3 linked regions of the Anolis sagrei genome follow. The protein of the gene in region 2 interacts with the protein of the main gene of each other region in a biochemical or structural test. Links are inferred from orthologs where the notes say so. Each region holds a gene or a part of one and is shown on either strand. Other genes may lie near its edges. The genes, in order: CLDN1, TJP1 and CLDN2.

What was found.
Region 1: the proteins of TJP1 (region 2) and CLDN1 form a complex in vitro, tested with the Homo sapiens proteins (2 studies listed by BioGRID and IntAct, with this or other methods). The link is inferred for Anolis sagrei from reciprocal best matches to the Homo sapiens genes TJP1 and CLDN1.
Region 3: the proteins of TJP1 (region 2) and CLDN2 form a complex in vitro, tested with the Homo sapiens proteins (2 studies listed by BioGRID and IntAct, with this or other methods). The link is inferred for Anolis sagrei from reciprocal best matches to the Homo sapiens genes TJP1 and CLDN2.

What each region holds. Positions count from the first base shown.
Region 1 is NC_090023.1:271,015,367-271,022,763, forward strand, and holds the start of CLDN1 (claudin-1), read right to left. Parts: upstream 3,134-7,397; 5' UTR 2,920-3,133; coding exon 2,697-2,919; intron 1-2,696.
Region 2 is NC_090029.1:6,538,191-6,546,537, forward strand, and holds the start of TJP1 (tight junction protein ZO-1), read right to left. Parts: upstream 3,203-8,347; 5' UTR 3,033-3,202; coding exon 2,690-3,032; exon of another isoform or gene 2,550-2,689; intron 1-2,549. UniProt on the Homo sapiens protein: TJP1, TJP2, and TJP3 are closely related scaffolding proteins that link tight junction (TJ) transmembrane proteins such as claudins, junctional adhesion molecules, and occludin to the actin cytoskeleton.
Region 3 is NC_090030.1:19,901,443-19,908,934, forward strand, and holds the start of CLDN2 (claudin-2), read left to right. Parts: upstream 1-4,215; 5' UTR 4,216-4,278; intron 4,279-7,492. UniProt on the Homo sapiens protein: Forms paracellular channels: polymerizes in tight junction strands with cation- and water-selective channels through the strands, conveying epithelial permeability in a process known as paracellular tight junction permeability.

The sequences.
Region 1 (7,397 bases), on a different chromosome or scaffold from region 2:
GTCAAACCTCCCACACAGAACCCCCATGTGGGCCACAGCAACGCATGGCAGGGGACAGCTAGTGGACAATATTTGTAATTGTTTTGCACACAAAGCAAAGTTTCTGTATCACTGGAAAGCAAAGGGACCACTCCCTCAGCCTTGTTCTCCAAAATCTTGATCATTTTAGTCCAGAGGAGGGTGACTAAAATGATCAAGATTCTGGAGAACAAGCCCTATGAGGAGCGGCTTAAAGAGCTGGGCATGTTTAGCCAGGAAGAAGAGAAGGCTGAAAGGAGATATGATAGCCATGTATAAATATGTGAGAGGAAATCACAGGGAGGAGGGAGCAAGCTTGTTTTCTGCTTCCTTAGAGACTAGGACACAATGGAACAATGGCTTCAAACTATAAGAGAGGAGATTCCATCTGAACATGAGGAAGAACTTCCTGACTGTGAGAGCTGTTCAGCAGTGGAACTCTCTGCCCCGGAGTGTGGTGGAGGCTCCTTCTTTGGAAGCTTTTAAACAGAGGCTGGATGGCCATCTGTCTGGGGTGATTTGAATGCAATATTCCTGCTTCTTGGCAGAATGGGGTTGGACTGGATGGCCCATGAGGTCTCTTCCAACTCTTTGATTCTATGATCTCATGAGGGACGAAGACACAAATACAAGAATTCCAAAAATTTTAATACCAAACAACTCTGGTTCTAAACATTTCGGATAAGGAATACTCAAACTGTCTTTTTTAAACATACATGGATGCTGTGTTTACCTTTGGATCCCATGTCCAAGATTCCTCAATATGTGAGCATACCCAGAAACAGGTATTCCAGATCCTAAACATTTTGGTTCTAACCCTTTTGGATAAGGAATACTCCACCCATATAAGGAGGAGGGGGGAATCTAAAACCCCAAACACAAGTGATCCCAACCATTTTGGATAAGGAATATTCTGCCTTTCCATGACTTTTGTATGTTTCATAGATAGTTTAAACCTGAATCTAATCTCAAAGATACAGATAGGCAAATACAGGTATTGGAAAATATGAAATATCCCAAAACTCTTCTGTTCACCAGGATTTCAGATAAGGAATACTCCACCCATAATAAGGTGTCCATTAAATATACATGAATTTTGTGTTTAGACAAATACATATTTCAAAAAAACCCAAATTCCAAGATACCAAGATGACTGATCCCAACTGTTTTTGACGAAGAACACTCATATGTCTATGAAACATATCAAGTTTCGACTTGGGTTCAAACTCCAAGATATCTCATGAGGTTCGTAGCCAACATCTGAATTCCATTGTTGATGAAACATCACTGAATTTCATGTTTAGGTTTGAATCCCATCTCCATATATCTCATTGTTTACATATGTCCAAAACAAAGCATTCCAAAACACTTCTAGTCCCAAGCATTTGGAAAAGGGAGAGTTGACCTGTACGAGTGTGTAGTGTCTATGACACCTAAATGAATTTTGTGTTTAGATTGGTGTCCCATCTCCAAGACATCTCATGATGTCCGTAATTGCAGATACAAGTATCTGAAAATATGAAAACCCCTGGAATCTCAACCATAGGAGTCAATGACACAGAAGCATTTGGGATAAGGAATTATTGACCTGTGGAAGGTGTCTATGAAACTGACACAAATGTTACATTTAGACTTGGAGCCCACACCCAAGTTCTCTCGTGATGTACATATATATTTGAATATGGGGTAAACACCAACTCCCAAACACTTCTGGTCCTGACCAGACTTGACCCATACATACTGTCCTATGGTCTTGACCCATATATAGTGTCCTATGCAATGTCACTCAATGTTGTGTTAGATTTGGTTCTCATCTCGATGACATCTTATGATATAGGTCTACTCAAGACATGGGCAACCTTGGGCCTTCAAGGTGTTTTGGACTTCAACTCACACAAATCCTAACACCCTACTAACTACCAAGTTGAAGTCCAAAACACTGGAGGGTCGAAGTTTGCCCATGTCTGGGATAGACCTATAGCATGAGATGTCATTGAGATGGCACCCAAATCTAACACAGCATTCAGTGACATTTCATAGGACACTATATATGGGTCAAGATCATCGGACACTATGTATGGGTCAAGTCCGGTTAGGACCAGAAGATGTGCTTTGGATTTGGATTTATTGGTATTTTAAGATCGGGATAGACCCGGCATGGGCAAACTTCGACCCTCCAGATGTTTTGGACTTCAACTCACACAATTCCTAACAGCATACCAACTACCAAGTTGAAGTCCAAAACACCTGGAGGGTCGAAGTTTGCCCATGTCTGGGATAGACCTATAGCATGAGGTGTCATTGAGATGGCACCCAAATCTAAGACAGCATTCAATGACATTTCATAGGACACTATATATGGGTCAAGTCCGGTTAGGACCAGAAGATGTGCTTTGGATTTGGATATATTGATATTTTAAGATCAGGATAGACCCACCATGGGCAAACTTCAACCCTCCAGGTGTTTTGGACTTCAACTCACACAATTCCTAACACCCTACCAACTACCAAGTTGAAGTCCAAAACACCTGGAGGGTCAAAGTTTGCCCATGCTAGGTCTATCCCGATCTTAAAATACCAATAAATCCAAATCCAAAGCACATCTGCTCCTGTGCATTTCAGATGAGAGAGACCCAACCTGCCATCATCACCATCTTGACCCTGTTTTGGGGCCCTACCTGGCAGCTTGAGGAGGGAGTCGAAGACCTTGCACTGCATCTGCCCGGTGCTCTGCATCACACAGTTCATCCAGAGCCCCTCGTAGATGGCTTGGGCCGTGATGAGGTTGTCTCCGGCGTAGGAGTTGATCTTCCACTGAGGCATGGCAGTGCTGACGATGGTGCCGATCCAGCCGATGAAGGCCAGGAGGAAGCCCAGCATCTGCAGACCACCACTGGCCATTGCGTCTCCACTGGAACAGCAACAATGAGGCAAAGGAGCACCTGAAAAGGATGGATGGATGGAGGAAGGAAGGGCGCTTGGTCCTTGGAGAGATGAAGCCAAGGAGGGATCCTTCTCTGCTCTTCTCTGCTCTCCTTTTTGTAATCCGAGGGATTTCAGAGCAGGTTGATGCTGCTGGACTTGGAGCCGACTTGGAGAACTGGCTTTCGGGGCAGCTCGGCAGCTCTATTTAAACCAGCGCCTCTCCAGCTCCGCCTGGTGGTTTCGTTCGACTTTGCCGTCCATCCAGTGCTTTGCTTTCCCAAATGAAAAATTGCAACCACAAAACAAAAAAAGTTACAATGCTTTGACGGTTCTTTTGCAACCCATACTTCAAGGTTTAGTTCTGGGGAAAGGTGGGGAAAGATACTTGCTTCGACTGGTGGAAAAGGTGTGGGGTTAAGGCAATATCAGTCACCCCAAGTTGCGTTCCTTCCTGGGCCAAAGTGCACCCCCGATGTGTTCTCTCGCTTCATGACACATCTCCCTTGCAGGATCCACCCTGTTCTTTGGAAGCGTCGGGACACTTCCAGAACAGGAAAGGAGAGGCGTCAAAGGGATTTCCAGATACTTTCTTGCTAGACGTCGTGTGTGATTACATAGAACCCCTCGACTTGAAAGGGAACCCAGAGGTCATCCGGTCCAACCTCGTACTACTGTGTGGGAAGAAATAATTCAAGCACAACTCTTTGTTAACAAAACTTCCATAGAAGGAGGTTCTACCATACTTCAAAGTGACACATCCTACTGTCAGAAAGCTGTTACCATCAGGAATGTCTTCCTAAAACATAGGTGGGATCTCTTTCCCTGCAATTTGCATCCATGGCTCCATTGTGTCCCAGCCTCTGGAGCAACAGGAAGCACGCTTTTCCCTTTCTCCTCAATGTATCATCCTTTCCAATAAATCAACTCAAGCATCATGTTCCCTCTTATCGTTCTCTCCTCCAAGCTAAACATCCCGAGCTCCCTCAGCTGCTCCTCAGAGGGATTCACACATGCAAAAGTCAATCTATTGCTCTTTCTTATTTCAGGTCTCTTCTACGCTGCCATGTTGTTGTTGTTCATTCGTTCAGTCGTCTCAGACTCTTCGTGACCTCATGGACCAGCCCACGCCAGAGCTCCCTGTCGGCCGTCACCACCCCCAGCTCCTTCAAGGTCAGTCCAGTCACTTCAAGGATGCCATCCATCCATCTTGCCTTGGTCGGCCCCTCTTCCTTTTGCCTTCCACTTTCCCCAGCATCATTCCCTTCTCTAGGCTTTGCTGTCTCCTCATGATGTGGCCAAAGGACTTCCACTTTGTCTCTAGTATCCTTCCCTCCAGTGAGAAGTCAGGCATTATTTCCTGGAGGATGGACTGGTTGGATCTTCTTGCAGTCCAAGGCACGCTCAGAACTTTCCTCCAACACCACAGCTCAAAAGCATCTCTCTTCCTTGGCTCAGCCTTCCCTAAGGTCCAGCTCTCACATCCGTAGGTGACTACAGGGAAGACCATGGCTTTGACTAGGCAATGGATCTTGGTTGCCAGTCTGATGTCTCTGCTCTTTACTATTATATCGAGACTGGACATTGCTCTCCTCCCGAGTAGGAAGCGTCTTCTGATTTCCTGGCCACAGTAATCTGCATCTGCAGTCATCTTTGCACCTAGAAATACAAAGTCTGTCACGGCCTCCACATTTTATCCCTCTATTCACAGTACTCTCAGTCATTACACTGAGATTTCATGGGAGTTATAGTTTTACACAGTCTCTGAGGTTTCTCCACCAAATAGTGTTGTTGCCTCACCAAACTATAACACTCAGGACTCAATAGCATTGGAAAATGGCAGTTAACATGGGTCAAACTGAATTCATTCTGCACCCTAAGACAGAGTAATAGATTCCGACTCCTGGAAAAGAAACTCTACCAAAACATTGAGAAAACTTTCCTGAGTGAAAGAGGGGTTTGAAAGGGGAACGGCCTTCCTCAACATGTGGTGGACCCTCGCTCTTTGGAGGTCTTTAAGCAGAGAATGGAAAACCTGCTTTTAGGGGTGCATCTATACTGTCGAATTAATGCAGTTTGACCCCATTTTAACTGTCATGGCTCACTGCTATAGAATCCTGGGAGTTGTAGTTTGGTGAGGCAACAAAACCCTATACGGTTCCGACCCAGTGTATCTGTCTAAACGGATCTCCCTCTACATCCCACCTCGAAGTCTAAGATCTTCTGGGGAGGCCCTGCTCTCGACCCCGCCTCTATCACAAGTGAGATTGGCAGGGACGAGGAGCAGGGCTTTCTCGGTGGTGGCCCCTCACCTGTGGAATTCACTCCCCGGGGAAATCAGAACAGGGACATCCCTCCTTTCCTTCAGGAAAAAACTGAAAACATGGATTTGGGACCAGGCATTCGGACAATCGGGCAGATAAAGGAGGATTTCGACAATGGACAGGAATTGAGAAAGTGGAATGGAATTATGGAACTCTGAAAGACGAACGCTGAGCTTGAGATTAGTTTTTTATTGATTGTGTTTTATTTTTATTGATTGTGTTATATACTGACCAATTTAACTGTGATAATTGTTTGATTGCTGTATGTATTCTATGTAGGCATCGAATTGTGCCTTTTTGTAAGCCGCCCTGAGTCCCCCCTCGGGGGTTGAGAAGGGCGGGGTAAAAGTACCTGAAATAAATAATAATAAAAATAAATAATAATAATAACACTATTTGGTGGAGAAGCCTTTTTTTTGCCAGGCGAAAAGGCACAACACTCATTGGCAGAGAAGGCTAAAGACCTTATAAAACTATAGCTCTTATGATGCCAAGGCCATGAGCATGGTAGTTAAAGTAGTGTCAACATGCATTAATTCCACATGTAGATGCACACTAGGAGGAATATTGTGTCCAATTCTGGGCACCACAATTCAAGAGAGATATTGACAAGCTGGAATGTGTCCAGAGGAGGGAGACTAAAATGATCAAGGGTCTGGAGAACAAGCCCTATGAGGAGCGGCTTAGGGAACTGGGCATGTTTAGCCTGAAGAAGAGAAGGCTGAGAGGAGATATGATAGCCATGTATAAATATGTGAGAGGAAGCCACAGGGAGGAGGAGGGAGCAAGCTTGTTTTCTGCTTCCTTGGAGACTAGGACAAGGAACAATGGCTTCAAACTACAAGAGAGGAGATTCCATCTGAACATTAGGAAGAACTTCCTGACTGTGAGAGCCGTTCAGCAGTGGAACTCTCTGCCCCGGAGTGTGGTGGAGGCTCCTTCTTTGGAAGCTTTTAAGCAGAGGCTGGATGGCCATTTGTCAGGGGTGATTTGAATGCAATATTCCTGCTTCTTGGCAGAATGGGGTTGGACTGGATGGCCCAGGAGGTCTCTTCCAACTCTTTGATTCTATGATTCTATGATTCTAGGGGATGTAGTTGTGCATTTTAGCCTGGCAGAAAAGGTTTGGGCTGGATGGCCTTCGGGGGTCCCTTTCAACTCCAAGATTGTGTGATTCTATAACCTGGAGATTTGGGGAAAAAATGCAGAAGACGAATGCCAGGACCATCCCTGTTTGAGGCCAGAGGAGGGGAGAGTCAACACACGAGAGACGTTCTATTTATGGAGCCACTTTTGTTTGTTGTTTCGGATAGAAGGGAGCGATGATGTTTCCCTGCTTCTGGATCCCTTTGTGGTGGAGCCAGGCCTGGTGGGTAATCCTCATCCCTTGAGCCGGCGTGTTTTGCAAACCCCTCCGAGAGGCCAGCCAAAATCCCTCAAGTCATCAAGATGAAGCAACGTCCGGACCAAAACAACCTCCTCCTCCCTTTTGAGTTGTTTTCGCTCTTTGTGGCTGGATGGTCTTGGAGCTGAAGAACAATTATGGAAAGTGCTGTCTGAGAATTGCTTGGCGGAGGATTATACCGAGAGATAAAAACACCGCAAGGGTCTGGTGTGTTGGTGAAGAACAAACAAGGTGTTTTTCACTAGGTTCTTGTGGGTTTTTTCGGGCTATAGGGCCATGTTCTAGAGGCATTTCTCCTGACGTTTCGCCTGCATCTATGGCAAGCATCTTCAGAGGTAGTGAGGTCTGTTGGAATTAGGACAATGGGTTTATATATCTCTGGAATGGCTGGGATGGGGCAAGAAGCTGGAGCTAGATGTGAATGTTTCAACTGATCACCTTCATTAGCATTTGAAGGCCTGGCTGAGCCTGGGAAAATCCCCTGTTGAGAGGTGTTAAAATGTGCCTGGTTGTTTTTTCCCTCATCCGCAAAGGGTTTCTGCATTTTAGGAAATAGGTGCATCTACAGCCAGTGCTTCCCCAACTTTGGTCTTCCAGGTTCGAGAATCCCTAGTGTTGTCCAAAGCTCCTGAAGGACGAGAGTCTGGGAATTATGGGCATAGATCATCTAGTTATTCAGATTTTTGCACTTCAACTCCCAGAATCCACAGCTGTCTTATCCAATTATC
Region 2 (8,347 bases):
GAGCTCACCCCATCTGTGGATTCGAACCACTAATCTTCTGATCAGCAAGTTTTGCAGCTTAGTGGTTTAACTGCTGCACCACCCACTTGCAAAAAGCATACACTGTATCAGCAAATGGTATGATTCATTTATATATTGAAATCCTTCCCTGTAACTGTTTTGCACCCTTCCCAGGATCATAAACCTGTCCAGTAAATCATAAGGGTAGGAAACAGAGAGATATATGGTCATCTGTTGATCAGTAAATTGTGGCAAACGGTCCATCACATTACTGAATCATAGGACTTGTAACTCAGTTTTAAAGGTAATTAAGTTTACAAGTGTGAAATAATGGAGGTGTAAGAGGCATATATTTCAGAGATCAAATTACCTTCAGACACTTATTTCTACCCAACAAGCCTTAGTAGCTGTTACATTTAAAAATAGATTATTATAAAACCTGCAGGGTCCTTAGTTTTTTTGTTTTAATTTGATGTGCATAATTAAGGTGCTAACTACCTTTAGATTAATTAGCCTCTCTCCTGCAGCAATGTGAGAACCTGTAGAGCTAACATACACATATCACTCCTCAGCCTGCTTGAGTCAGAAACAGTTGGCTTAAGGCTACCAACCAAGGTACACCTGGGCAAATGAACTATTGAATGCAGGGAGGCTTGCCTCTGAGTAAAGACGCATGGAATTGTGTTACACTGATCCCTGAAATCACTGGGATTATGCCTGCAGTCCTATCCACATCTGTCCTTAAATCCAGTTGTTTTATATGTTGTCATCTGACTTATGATTATTTCCCCTGAAGGGTATGTAATATTGCAGACTCTGAAGTATGCCAGATTCACTTGCATGTCACAACCCACTTCTATCTATGTGTTTTTCAGTCATCTGCTGACTATATCTTTCTTCAGTCACAATTTTTATCAAATAATCCTTGCTTAATTTCACAGTACATTCTGCAGTGAAAGCGTATTGCTATTTGCATACCTGCCCATCATATATCTCCCAAACCACTAAGGCAGAGTTTCTCAACCTGGGGGTCGGGACCCCTGGGCCACCAAAGAAGGGTCACCAAAAACCATCAAAAATATAGTTTTTTTTCTGTTGGTCATGGGGGTTCGGAGTGGGAAGTTAGGCCCAATTTTATCATTGGTGGGAGGGTCACCATTGGTGGGAAGGGTCACCAAAGACTATCAAAAATATAGTTGTTTTCTGTTGGTCATGGGGGTTCGGAGTGGGAAGTTAGGCCCAATTCTATCATTGGTGGGAGTCAGAATGCTCTTTGATTGTAGGTGAACTAAAAATCCCAGCAACTACAGCTCCCAAATCTCAAGATCTATTTCCCCCATAATACAACAGTGTTCACATTTGGGCATATTGAGTATTCGTGCCAAGTTTGGTCCAGATCCATCATTGTTTGAGTCCACAGTGCTCTCTGGATGTAGGTGAACTACAATTCCAAAACTCAAGGTCAATGCCCAGGAAACCCTTTCTGTATTGGATGTGGGAGTTTTGTGTGCCAAGTATGATTAAATTCCATCATTGGTGGAGTTTAGAATGCTCTTTGTTTATAAATCCCAGCAACTACAACTCCCAAATGACAAAATCAATCTTCCCAAACCTCACCAGTATTCAAATGTGGGCATATCGGGTATTTGTGCCAAATGTGGATCAGTGAATGAAAATACATCCTGCATGTTAGATATTTACATTACGATTCATAACAGTAGAAAAATTACAGTTATGAAGTAGCAATGAAAAAAATGTTATGGTTGGGGGTCACCACAACATGAGGAACTGCATTAAGGGATTAGGAAGGTTGAGAAACACTGCTGTTGAACTATCATACACACATCAGTCCTTAGCCTGCTTTTGCCAGGAACAATTGGCTTAAGGCTGCAAACCAAGGTACACCTGGGTAAATAAACTATTGAATGCAGGGAGGCTTGCCTCTGAGTAAAGATGCATGGAATTGTATTAAACTGATCCCTGAAATCACTGGGATTAAGCCTGCAGACCTATCCACATCTGTCCTTAAATCCAGTTGGTTTATATGTTGTCATCTGACCTATGATTATTTCCCCTGAAGGGTATGTAATATTGCAGACTCTGAAGTATGCCACATTCACTTGCATGTCACAACCCACTTCTATCAATGTGTTTTTCAGTCATCTGCTGACCATATCTTTCTTCAGTCACAATTTTTATCAAATAATCCTAGCTTAATTTCACAGAACAATACATTCTGCAACACAAAGTGTATTGCTATTTGCGTATCTATCTTCTCTCTCTCTCAGACCACTAAGGCAACGTATCTGCAAGTGTACACTGAATAGTCTACTGAAGTATTAAAGTGGCCACTACATAATCAAATTAACATTTTCCCCGACTTGAGAATATTTATTATCAACCAGCTGGTTCTTCTGCATCGTTGATAATCCCAACTGATGGTATTAACTCATTTCTATTTTACTACCATGGCTTCTACAGAGAGATTTAAAGCATTTTCTATATCCCCCACAATTATTTCTGTCCTCTTCTTCTGTTTCTTTCAACAGAGTAGCTATAATGAGAGCAAGCGGAGGAGCACAAGCGAGAGAAAGTAACTTCTAATTATAGACCATTTGTGTGGAAGGATTCGAAGGCTCTGCCGATAACACACTTGGAACATTTCAGACGGCAGGACCTATGACCTTACCTTGGTAGCCAAGGAGAACGGAAATGAACGAGTGGGGACAGACCTCCTCCAGCACCGAGCAGAACGCGGACAGGGCACCGGGCCCTTTGCAAACCAGTTTCTCTAAAAAATAGGCAGCTTGCTTCTCGCAGCACTCCCGGGACAAAATGTCTTTGTACTCCTCCAAGGAAAAGACTCTCTCATAAACCAGATATGACAGCACTTTCTGCACATCCAGCTCTCTCACGATTCTCTCCCTGTGGTTGCTTAGGATATCAGCAAGCCACTGGTTCCTATCTGTGCTTTCTTTTTTGGTTGGTTTTGCACAGTTATAAAACCAAGACCGGACCGGCCACCTAAACATGTTTGCATTTAAAGCTAAAAATAAATAAAAAGAAAGGATTGCCGCTCTCTGTCAGACGCTTGCAGCCTTCCGGGGTCTATAGGCACGCCGTGGGAAGGCAAGGGGGTATCGCCTGCCGATAGATAGGGCAATTTGACTGGAAAAGCAGAGGCCTAGGTTCGAATTATAAAAGCACAAAAAGCAAAAGAAACTGCCACGCACAGTGCTTCCAGCTCCCTAAGAGGATTACTTTACACTAATTAGCCTTTTACAAGCGTTAATAGGCATCTCCACAACCACAAAAAGGCAGAGAGGAGAATAGCTGGGCTACTGTTCACTTTGTAATTCTCTAAACCGCTTCGCAACAAACAAAACGAGTCTATTGTAGAAAGTTACACTGAAGAAGACAGGATATCAAAGCACTTATCCATTGCAGGCAAGTATTAAAACAAGAAACAAGGGCACAGTTTTAAGTGGATACTAAGATTTCTGCCTTGTTGGGCTGGCCTCCCAAATAATACTGTGATAGTGATGGTCCCTTTTAAGTAGAATTGCACAAGTGATATACCCGTATATACTCGAGTATAAGCTGACCCGAATGTAAGCCTAGGCACCTAATTTTACCACAAAAAAACCTGGGAAAACGTATTGACTCGAGTATAAGCCGAGGTGGGAAATGCAGCAGCTACTGGTCAATTTCAAAATATAAATACCAATACAATTACATTAATTGAGGCATCAGAAGGTTAAATGTTTTTGAATATTTACATAAAAGTGTAATTTAAGATAAGACTGTCCAAGTTTGATTAATCCATTATTCTAACCTTCTGCTTATGTATTCTTCCGATAATAATAAAGAGAGTGAAATAATAAATGTAATAATAACAATAATAAAACAAAATAATAAATGTAATAATAAGAGTAAAATAATCAATGTAATAATAACAATAACAACAGAATTCAATAATAAATTATCTTGACTCAAGTATAAGCCGAGAGGGACTTTTTCAGCCTAAAAAAGGGCTGAAAAACTAGGCTTATACTCGAGTATTTACAGTATTTGTTCTTATGCATACATAAGCAGAAGGCCTAGGACTTGTTCTTCATGGGTGTGTACTGTTGGAAAAAGACATTTGTGAGGAGCAGGGAAATAGTCTAAATCTTTTTGGAAACTTGCATTTACAATGTTTAACACTGATTGTATCTTTTGTGATTCCAGAATTATTGGATGATTGTTTTTTTTAAAAAAAAAACTCTCATAAATAGCATCTACTTAATGAATTAGGATTAAGGGGAGAGATTCTGACAGCTTCAATGTAGGTGTACTGCCAGTAGTAATTATTCACTGAGGATCAAACTTGCGTAACAACCCTGCTTCACATATACCCATAGTATTTACTCGAGTCTAATATGCCATCGAATCTAATGTGAAGCTCAATTTTCAAAATTCTGAAACCAAGAAAAAAAAAAGTATTTGCTGCCGAATGTGATATGCAGTGGCAAAAAGTGTAGTTTTTGTAATTTGGCCAAAAAAAAAAAAAAAGACATGCATTACTGTTGCTGACTGATTAGGATTCCTTCATTTATTTTATTTATTTACTTCTGGTATTTCTAACCCGTTCCTTCTCAGCCTCCAAAGAGGGATTCAGGACGGCTTACATTTGACAGCAATTCAATGCCACTACAAATAACACGGCATTACTGAACAAGGAACGTCTAAAGGATTATGAGAACGAGATCTGATTTCATTCAGGCGTAGATGATTATTTGTTGTATGTCTGTATATGTTATGTCTTATTTACTGTAATTGTTATTAATCGCACTGTAAACCGCATAGAGTCGCTGTATCAGGCTGATATATGCGGTATAAAAGAAAAGCAAATAAATAAATAAATAAATAAACACTTAAAACAATAAGTAAAACATCTCTTTTGGAAGTCATGCTTCCAAAAAGCCTGTGGAGATTCCTGGTTTCCCCAAAATTCCTCTCTCCTCGCTCATTTCATCTTAACAAACAACTTAGTGAGGTAGGCTAGGCAGGGAAGCAATGACTATCACAAGGTCACCAAGCCAACTTTGACGTGCGAAGAACCGTGTTTACACATCTGTTTCGACAGGCCTTTGATTTTTGATATTGCTGTTTTTAAATTGTTTTAAATTGTTTTTAAATTGTGTTAGATTTTAGCCTGTTCTTGTAAGCCGCTCTGAGCCCCAGGGGAGTGGCGGCACATAAATTTGAACAATAAATAAATAAAATAATCTAGCAACTTCCTGAACTTAAAAAAATAAGCAACATAATTTCATCTATGCTGACGATCATGCCATCACCAATGAAGCAGGGAGCTTTGAAATGATGATGATGATGATTATTATTATTAACTTTATTTGTACCCCGCTAGCATCTCCCGAAGGACTCGATGCGGCTTACATGGGTCGAAGCCCATGAAATGGTTGAACAGAAGCTCTCTGAAGCTTTGGGTGCTCTTACTACCTATTACAGGAAAAACCAGCTGACTCCTAATTCATCTAAAATGCAGATGTGTGCATTTCATCCAAAGAACAGACAAGCATCTCGAGCTCTGAGGATTATGTGGGAAGGAATCCTATTGTAGCACTGCAGCACAGGAACACCTCAGCAAGCAAGAGTCCAAAAGTGGCAGGTTAAAACCCAGAATCAGTGGCTGAGACCAGATGAGAAACTCCCTCCTGGGCACACAGAAGACTGGGAGACTTGGAAGGTGCTGAACAGGCTGCACTACTGCTCCCCTCAACTTTTCTGTCACTGGAGTACACGCCCCCCACATGGGAAGTTTAGTTCACAACCCTGTGTTTCTTTATCAGCTCCCTGCAAATAACTTGCTTCTATTCTTATCTCATTAGAGTTTTTAAACATTTTATCCTGTACATGTGGTCCGCCCACATGTGTCACTGTGATTGTGTTTATTTTTATTGTAATGTTATTTTGTTACTGTATTCATATGTTTTTTTCCATGTAATTTTGATGATGTTGCTTGTTGTTTATGTTTTGATTTTATTTTTGCTGTAATATGTTGTCTGGGCTTGGCCCCATGTAAGCCGCTCTGAGTCCCCATTGGGGAGATAGTGGCGGGTATGAATAAAGATTATTATTATTATTATTATTATTATTATTATCATCATCATCATCATCATCATAAGATGCAGCGCCAACCTTAAAAAATGGGGCCACAGAGTGGAGTCCAGGAGTGTGCAGAAGAGCAAACCACAGACAACTTACTATAATTCAGTCTGAGCCCTGCCACATGCACAATGGAGGACCTCCTTACAGCAACAGTAGAACCACTCCAAGTGGCCAGCTTCTGGTCAACCACAATTCAAGAGAGATATTGACAAGCTGGAATGTGTCCAGAGGAGAGCGACTAAAATGATAAAAGGTCTGGAGAACAAGCCCTATGAGCGGCTTACGGAGCTGGGCATGTTTAGCCTGAAGAAGAGAAGGCTGAGAGGAGATATGATAGCCATGTATAAATATGTGAGAGGAAGCCACAGGGAGGAGGAGGGAGCAAGCTTGTTTTCTGCTTCCTTGGAGACTAGGACGCGGAACAATGGCTTCAAACTACAAGAGAGGAGATTCCATCTGAACATGAGGAAGAACTTCCTGACTGTGAGAGCCGTTCAGCAGTGGAACTCTCTGCCCCGGAGTGTGGTGGAGGCTCCTTCTTTGGAAGCTTTTAAACAGAGGCTGGATGGCCATCTGTCAGGGGTGATTTGAATGCAGTGTTCCTGCTTCTTGGCAGGGGGTTGGACTGGATGGCCCATGAGGTCTCTTCCAACTCTTTGATTCTATGAAAGGAAATTTAGTATAATGCCAAGTTTTTAACTTTGTTTGTATTTTAAAATACATTATAACTGCACCCTCAATTCGCTTCTGACACGATAAATAAATAAGCAACAGGATGTATTTGTTTTTGAAGTAGTAAACTGTGATGTGTTATTTAAACATTTAAAAACTACAGGATGCATCACCACATACATACCTTGTGTTTTTGGAGAAAAATACACGGTGCCTAAAGTCTGTTTCTGGAGCAAAATTTTCTGAGATACTGCCATCTTGTGCTTGTCTCCAGATATGGCCATCTTCTATCTGAAGCAAAGTTTGTTAACTTGGAAGAACTTCACGAGAACCTGGAAATAATATTGATATATTAGGGGACAATTAGTGATTATGAGGACCTTCCGTCATACCATACCTCTGTACATTTGCAGATTGCCTTAATTGAAAGGTTCGGGCAAATGCATTTCTAAGTCTGTACTACTTTTCCACTTCCACCTTTGGAAGGTTTAGTGTGAAGATGTAAGATGGCCAAGCTATGTGTTCACATAAAACATTTTATCTCCCTCAGATAATGAGTAATATTGTAGAGCAAGCATGGGCAAACTTGGGCCTTCCAGGTGTTTTGGACTTCAACTCCCACAATTCCTAACAGCCTCAGGCCTCTTCCTGGAAGAGGCCTGGGGCTGTTAGGAATCGTGGGAGTTGAAGTCCAAAACATCTGGAAGGCCCAAGTTTGCCCATGCCTGAGGCACATCTGGTTATAAAACTATTATAATAGTTATTGTTGTGTTTCCAGATTTAAGGTGTATCCACTCGGTGAATGCAGGTAGACATCACTTGGCCAGCCATGACTCAATGCTCATGTCACTTGTAGTTTTCCAAGCTCTCTAGCCTTCTCTGTCATATAGCATTGGTGTCTTGCCAAACTACAATTCCCAGGAGTCCATAGTACTGAGCCATTCCAGTAGTATCAAACTGCAGGGATTCTACAATGGAGATGCACCCTAAACCTGGAACCAAAATAATAACAGAAACAATAGGAATACAGTTTTGTGCGTGTGTGTGTGTGTGTGTGTGTGTGTCAAGAGCGACTTGAGAAACTGTAAGTCATTTCTGGTGTGAGAGAATTTGCGGTCTGCAAGGACATTGCCCAGGGAACTCCCAGATGTTTTACGATCTTTGGCTTCTCTCATGTCCCCGTATGAGAAGCTGGAGTTGACAGACGGGAGCTCACCCCACTCACCAATCCTGCCAATATAAGGACCTAACCCATTGCGCCACTGGCGGCTCCAGGAGTACAGTACTATCTATACTACTAATAATATTGGAAAAGTGTGTAAACACAGGGTTGTTGTAGGTTTTTCCGGGCTATATGGCCATGTTCTAGAGGCATTTTCTCCTGACGTTTCGCCTGCATCTATGGCAAGCACCCTCACTACCTCTGAGGATGCTTGCCATAGATGCAGGCGAAACGTCAGGAGAAAATGCCTCTAGAACATGGCCATATAGCCCGAAAAAACCT
Region 3 (7,492 bases), on a different chromosome or scaffold from region 2:
CCATCCATCTTGCCCTTGGTCGGCCCCTCTTCCTTTTACCTTCCACTTTCCCCAGCATAACTGTCTTCTCTAGGCTTTGCTGTCTCCTCATGATGTGGCCAAAGTACTTCAACTTTGTCTCTAGTATCCTTCCCTCCAGTGAGCAGTCGGGCTTTATTTCCTGGAGGATGGACTGGTGGATCTTCTCGCAGTCCAAGGCACTCTCAGCACTTTCCTCCAACACCACAGTTCAAAAGCATCTCTCTTCCTTTGCTCAGCCTTCCCTAAGGTCCATCTCTCACATCCGTAGGTGACTACAGGGAATACCATGGCTTTGACTAGGCGGATCTTTGTTGCCAGTCTGATGTCTCTATTTTATCGAGACTGGACATTGCTCTCCTCCCAAGAAGTAAGCGTCTTCTGATTTCCTGGCCACAGTCTGCATCTGCAGTCATCTTTGCCTCTAGAAATACAAAGTCTGTCACGGCCTCCACATTTTCTCCCTCTATTTTCCAGTTGTCAATCATTCTTGTTGCCATAATCTTGGTTTTTTTATGTTTAGCTGCAACCCGGCTTTTGCGCTTTCTTCTTTCACCTTGATTAGAAGGCTCCTCATCTCCTCCTCGCTTTCGGCCATCAGAGTGGTGTCATCTGCATATCTGAGGTTGTTAATGTTTCTTCCAGCAATTTTCACCCCAGCCTTGCATTCGTTAAGCCCGGCACATCGCATGATGTGTTCTGCATACAGGTTAAAAAGGTTGGGTGAGAGGATGCAGCCTTGCCATACGCCTTTCCCAATCTTGAACCAGTCTGTTGTTCCGTGGTCAGTTCTGACTGTTGCTACTTGGTCCTTGTACAGATTCCTCAGGAGAGAGACAAGGGGGCTTGGGATGCCCATCCCACCAAGAACTTTCCACAATTTATTATGATCCACACAGTCAAAGGCTTTATAATAGTCAAACTTGGCTTTAGAATAGTCAAAGTTGTAGGTGAACTACAACTCCAAAACTCAAGATCAATACCCACCAAACCCTTCCAGTATTTTCTGTTTGCCATGGGAGTTCTGTGTGCCAAGTTTGATTCAATTCAATTGTTGGTGAAGTTCAGAACGCTCTCTGATTGTAGGTGAACTATACATCCCAGCAACAACTCTCACAGGACAAATACCCTCCCCCAATCCCACCAGTATTCAAATTTGGGTGTATTGGGTACTTGTGCCAAATTTGGTCCAGTGAATAAAATACATCCTGCATATCAGATATTTACATTACTATTCATAACAGCAGCAAAATGACAGTTATGAAGTAGCAATGAAACTAATTTTATGGATGGAGGTCACCATAACATGAGGAAGCGTATTAAGGAGTCGTGGCATTAGGAAGGTTGAGAACCACTGGTCTAGAGGCATTCTCTCCTGACGTTTCGCCTGCATCTATGGCAAGCATCCTCAGAGGTAGTGAGGTCTGTTGGAACTAGGAAAAAGGGTTTATATATCTGTGGAATGACCAGGGTGAGACAAAGGACTCTTGTCTGCTGGAGCTAGGTGTGAATGTTTCAACTGATCACCTTGATTAAAATTTGATTGCCTGGCAGTGCCTGGAGCAAACCTTTGTTGAGAGGTGATTAGATGTCCTTGTTTGTTTCCTCTCTGTTGTTGTGCTGTTGTTATTTTAGAGGTTTTTAACACAGAAATGCTGGACGACTCTCACAACCACCATGTCAGACTACACAGAGAAGCCATTGAAATACACAAGCATGTGGACAATTTCAACAGAAAGGAAGAAACCATGAAAATGAACAAAATCTGGCTACCAGTATTAAAAAATTCTAAAATTGCAACAGCAAAAACAGCAGAGAGAAAAACAGGCAGGGACATCTAATCACCTTTCAAGAAGAGTTTGCTCCAGGCACAGTCAGCCCATTGTATGCTAATCAAGGTGGTCAGTTGAAAGATTCACACCTAGCCCAACTTACAAAAGCCCTTTGTCTCACCCCAGCCATTCCACAGATATATAAACCCCCTTTTTTCCCAGTTCCAGCAGACCTCACCTCTGAGGATGCTTGCCATAGATGCAGGCGAAACGTCAGGAGAAATGCCTCTAGAACATGGCCATATAGCCCGAAAAAAACCCACAAGAAATATATGGCCATGGTCTAGAGCAGTGTTTCTCAACCTGGGGGTCAGGACCCCTGAGGGGGTCGTCAGGGGGTGTCAAAGGGGTCGCCAAAGACCATCAGAAAACACAGTATTTTCTGTTGGTCATTGGGATTCTGTGTGGGAAGTTTGACCCAATTCTATTGTTGGTCGAGTTCAGAAGGCTCTTTGATTGTAAGTGAACTACAACAACTACAACTCCCAAATGTCAAGGTCTATTTTCCCCAAACTCCACCAGTGTTTACATTTGGGCATATTGAGTATTCGTGCCAAGTTTGGTCCAGATCCATCATTGCATGAATCCACAGCACTCCTCTGGATATAGGTGAACTACAACTCCCAAACTCAAGGTCAATACCCACCAAACCCTTCCAGTGTTTTCTAATAGTCATTGGAGTTCTGTGTGCCAAGTTCGGTTTAAATCCATCGCTGGTGGAGTTTAGAATGCTCTTTAGTTATAGGTGAACTATAAATCCCAGCAACTACAATTCCCAAATTACAAAATCAGTCCTCCCCCCAACCCCACTAGCACTCACATTTTGGCATATTGGGTATTTGTGCTCAATTTAGTCCAGTGAATGAAAATACATCCTGCATATCGGATATTTACATTACGATTTATAACAGTAGTAAAAGGACAGGTATCAAGTAGCAACGAAAACAATATTATGGTTGAGGGTCACCACAACATATGGAACTGCATTAAGGGGTCACGGCATTAGCAAGGTTGAAAACCACTGGTCTAGAGGCATTCTCTCCTGACGTTTCGCCTGCATCTATGGCAAGCATCCTCAGAGGTAGTGAGGTCTGTTGGAACTAGGAAAATTGGGTTTATATATCTGTGGAATGACCAGGGTGGGACAAAGGACTCTTGTCTGTTGGAGCTAGGTGTGAATGTTTCAACTGATCACCTTGATTAGCATTTGATTGCCTGGCAGTGCCAGGAGCAAACTTTTGTTGAGAGGTGATTAGATGTCTTTGTTTGTTTCCTCTCTGTTGTTGTGCTGTTCTAATTTTAGAGTTTTTAAACACAGAAATACTGGACGACTCTCACAACCACCATGTCAGACTACACAGAGAAGCCATTGAAATACACAAGCATGTGGACAATTTCAACAGAAAAGAGGAAACCATGAAAAGGAACAAAATCTGGCTACCAGTATTAAAAAACAGTACAACCATATTATTTTACCACAAAGAAATGCCTCCTAAGGAAGAGATAACATTGGTCTGTGTATTTTTGTTCTTTTTATCACTTTGGGCTACTGGTGCTGGGTCATGCTGCTGTTAATAAGTTACTCTGCTGTGCATGTATGAGGAGGGTCTTTTGTTAATAAGCCCACTCACCCAACATGACCCACCAAGGCACTCTCCTTTGGTTCCTTGGCCATTTGCGCCATTTGCTTCTCACTTGGCACAAGGGCAATCCTGGGAGCAGGGGCGGCTCGTCCATTACGCAAAGTAAGCGGTTGCGGTACACTTTTTTTTGGCCAGGGGCGCAGAGGCGCCTCTGTAAATGCCCCTCGATCGCCACTTATGGAGCACCCCCTCGGCTCACAACAGCCCTAGCAGTCCGGGGGGAGCCTCGGCTTCCTTGCCTCACTGCCGGGCGATCCTCTTCCCAAAGGGGCTGGGCCCTTGAGCCTCGCCTAGCCCCTCTTGTTTCTGCTCCATATCAATGATTGGTTGGGGAGGGGGGCGCCAAAATACTGTTTGCTTACTATTGAAAATTACTTGGGGCCACCTCTCTGCCTGGGAGGAAAGGCAGGGGAGGGCCTTCTCCTCCTTGCAGTTCCCAGAGATCCCTTGGCTCTTTCTGATCCCAGTGTGGTCCCAGGGGCCCAGCCTCCCCTCCATCCCAAACATGCTTCTCTCTGCCCCCGCCAGGACCCATAACAGCTCAGGTCCACTCAATGGGGGTCAGTCTGCAGGCAAAAGACCAGGCCCCACGGTTCCTGATCTGTCCGAGTCTTTAAAGGGTTTAATTGTGATCTGGACTAAGCCTCGGCCCCCGAGCCACGATTTGCGGGTGGATTTGGCAAAGCTGCAGTGAAAAATTAGAAAGCCCTCCTCAGCCTCCCTCCGGCCTTGTTCTGAGGAGGCGCCTGACCACCCAGCCTCCCTGCCCTCCAGCAAGCCCTGAGGTAAGCCCCCCTCCCGTCGTGGGGTCAGTTGCCATGGGGTGCCCCCTCTGGGATGGGAAGGGAGGATGGGTCACCCTCTTGGCCAGGCCATGGGCATCCTGGCTGCAGGAGAGCCAGCTCCCCAGAAATAGCTCTGCTCCTTTCCCTATTTCCTCCTCCTTCCAAGAAGAGAACCATAGCAGCAAAAGACTCTGGGTCTCTTCCTGTGCAAAGAAAGGGAAGCGTCTGGTGGGCTGGGTCAGCTGTGAGAACCAAACAGTAAAGAGGCAACTCTCTGGGCCGGAGCCCGGTGGTGCAGTGGGTTAAAGCCCTGTGCCGGCAGGACTGAAGACCGACAGGTCGCAGGTTCAAATCCGGGGAGAGGCGGATGAGCTCCCTCTATCAACTCCAGCTCCTCATGCGGGGACACGAGAGAAGCCTCCCACAAGGATGATAAAAACATCAAATCATCCAGGTGTCCCCTGGGCAATGTCCTTGCAGACGGCCAATTCTCTCACACCAGAAGCGACTTGCAGTTTCTCAAGTTGCTCCTGACATGACAAAAAAAAACCTCTCTGGGCCAAATCCTGGGAAAGCTGCATGTGCATTTCAAAGGGAATTGGAAGAGGAAGAGGATACAGGTAGATTCCAGGCATAAAGCCAGAAGCAGAGGGCCACTGGGGAACCCTCCAAAGGAGGAGGCAGGGGAGGAGGGCTTCCTACCAAGGCACCTCTGCCCCAGCAGTTGGGGCCTCCTAACCTTCATGTTGCCAATCTGGGTGAGGAGATAGAGAGGGAAAGGACATTTGGAGACCTTCCCGGAGTGTAGTGGGGTGAGCATTGTGCTGGGAAGCAAGAGTGAGCTCCCCCCCCCCCCCCACACACACACCCTGGGAGAGGTCTGTCCCCTTCAGACCCAGGACTCTGCTTTGGCTCTTGGAATATGTTGGGGAATCGGAGCTGTTAGGTTCAAAAATAACCTTCAGTTAGGGTGATTCTGCCATAAATATAGCAGAGTACCAGAAGCAAACTTCATAACCAGCAGAAACATAGTAAAGGTAAAGGTAGTTCCCTGACATTACGTCCAGTCATGTCTGACTCTGGGGTGTGGTGCTCATCTCCATTTCTAAGCCGAAGAGCCAGCGTTGTCCGTAGACACCTCCAAGGTCATGTGGCCGGCATGACTGCATGGAGCTGGGTGAAACTGGGATAAGCCTCTATTTCTTAGGATGACACAGGATTTCAGAATCAGAACTTTAGGTTCGAAGATATTTATTGAAGTAAAAGAAATACACTAACTAGCTTCCTAAATCCCATCTTCTAAGAAAGGTAAAAGGGTAAAAAGTGAAAAAAAATCCATGCAGCTACATTTTGCCTAAAGAGAGAAACAAAATGTGCATTCTCACTGGAAGGAAGGAAAGGCAGAAGACACAGTGGTGGCGAATGGCCACATGGCCAGTTCAGGGCAATAAAAATACCTTTAAAACTGAAGTTCCCCCACAGAGATTCCATTGCTACATCTTCAAAGGGGGAGGAGAGAGTGGCTAGTAGGAGGAGGAAAGACAAAGCCCTTTTGGGAAACGTGCCTAGAAATGTGTGTGTTTGGGGGGGGGGGATCCCTCAACCTAATCCTATCTCTAGTATAGCTACTCATTGAGGACTAGAGACTTGACGACACAAGAGATTGGGCAGTCCAGGGATGAAACCCAACAGCCTCCTTACCTTTGTGTTGCCAACCTGGAAGAGGAGACGGGAAAGGGAGGGGTTTATGGAGACCTTCGTGGCCCCCGTCCCCTGGTCTTGGGTGGGGTGGGCGCTGTGCTGGGAAGCAAGAGTGGGCAGACCGTCTAGGGAGAGGTCCATCTCCTCCAGGTCCAGGGTTCTGCTTTAGCCCTTGTCCTCATTTCCCCGGTCCATTCCAAGAGCGATTATTAGCTCAGCTCTCCTCTGGCAAGACCCTTCTCCCTCTCCCCTTCCTTCCCTCCCTCCCTCCCTTTGTAAAAGAAGCTGGCTAGAAGGGAGAAGAAAGAGAGAGAAACCATGCCAGGGAAGGGGACAGGGCAAGGGCAACCATGTTGGGACCAGAGGTCAAACCAGGCCACCATCCACTTGGGGCTCCCAGCGTGGATCTTCTTGCCCCAAAGGATAGAGCCCAGGCTATTTATTTATTGTGTCAGGCAACTGAACAGTTCTATTACATTTTTGACAGAACAAACAAACAAACAAACAAACATACAAAAGACACAGAGTTTGCAGGCTTGGTGGTTGATTAAATGTCCTTTGACCAGTATCTGGCCACTTGGAGTGCCTCTGGTGTTGCCGCAAGAAGGTCCTCCATTGTGCATGTAGCAGGGCTCAGGTGGTCTGTAGTTTGCTCTTCACCACACTCGCATGTCGTGGATTCCACTTTGTGGCCCCATTTCTGAAGGTTGGCTCTGCATCTCGTGCTGCCAGAGCGCAGTCTGTTCGGCGCCTTCCAAGTTGCCCAGTTTTGTGTGAGCCCAGGGGGGAGTCTCTCATTGGGTATCAGCCATTGATTGAGGCTCTGGGTTTGAGCCTGCCACTTTTGGACTCTCGCTTGCTGAGGTGTTCCAGCGAGTGTCTCTGTAGATCTTAGAAAACTATTTCTTGATTTAAGTCGTTGGCATGCTGGCTGATGCCCAAACAAGGGATGAGCTGGAGATGTCTCTGCCTTGGTCCTTTCACTATTGGCTGCTATTTCCCGGCAGATGTCAGGTGGTGCGATACCAGCTAAGCAGTGTAATTTCTCCAGTTGTGTAGGGCGCAGACACCCCGTGATAATGTGGCATGTCTCATTAAGAGCCACATCTCATTAAGAGCCCAGGTTGAGGTGGAAAGAATGGCTGCCACTGGTGGGAAGCAGAGACCGTTCCTCCAACTTGGAACTGGGTTGTGTGTGTGTTAGGGAGGAAGAACGCCTAAGGGCACAGCCATCTTGGTTGAATCAAGTGTGTGCTTCTCTCACACACATATACACACACTCCGACAGGCTGTTGCCAGATGCCCATTCAGCATTCAAGGGCCAAGTACAAGTGGGAGGGGGCACATCATTGAGACAGGGCCATACCTCACTCACTCCAAGTTCTGCACATCACTTATTGCCTGAAGAGTCTGAAGCGGTTGCTTCCTCAAACAGTTTGTGATTCCTACGAGGTTGCATGTGGGTTTGGACTTTTCAAAACATAATTTCTACATATAGATAACGGGGTGAAGG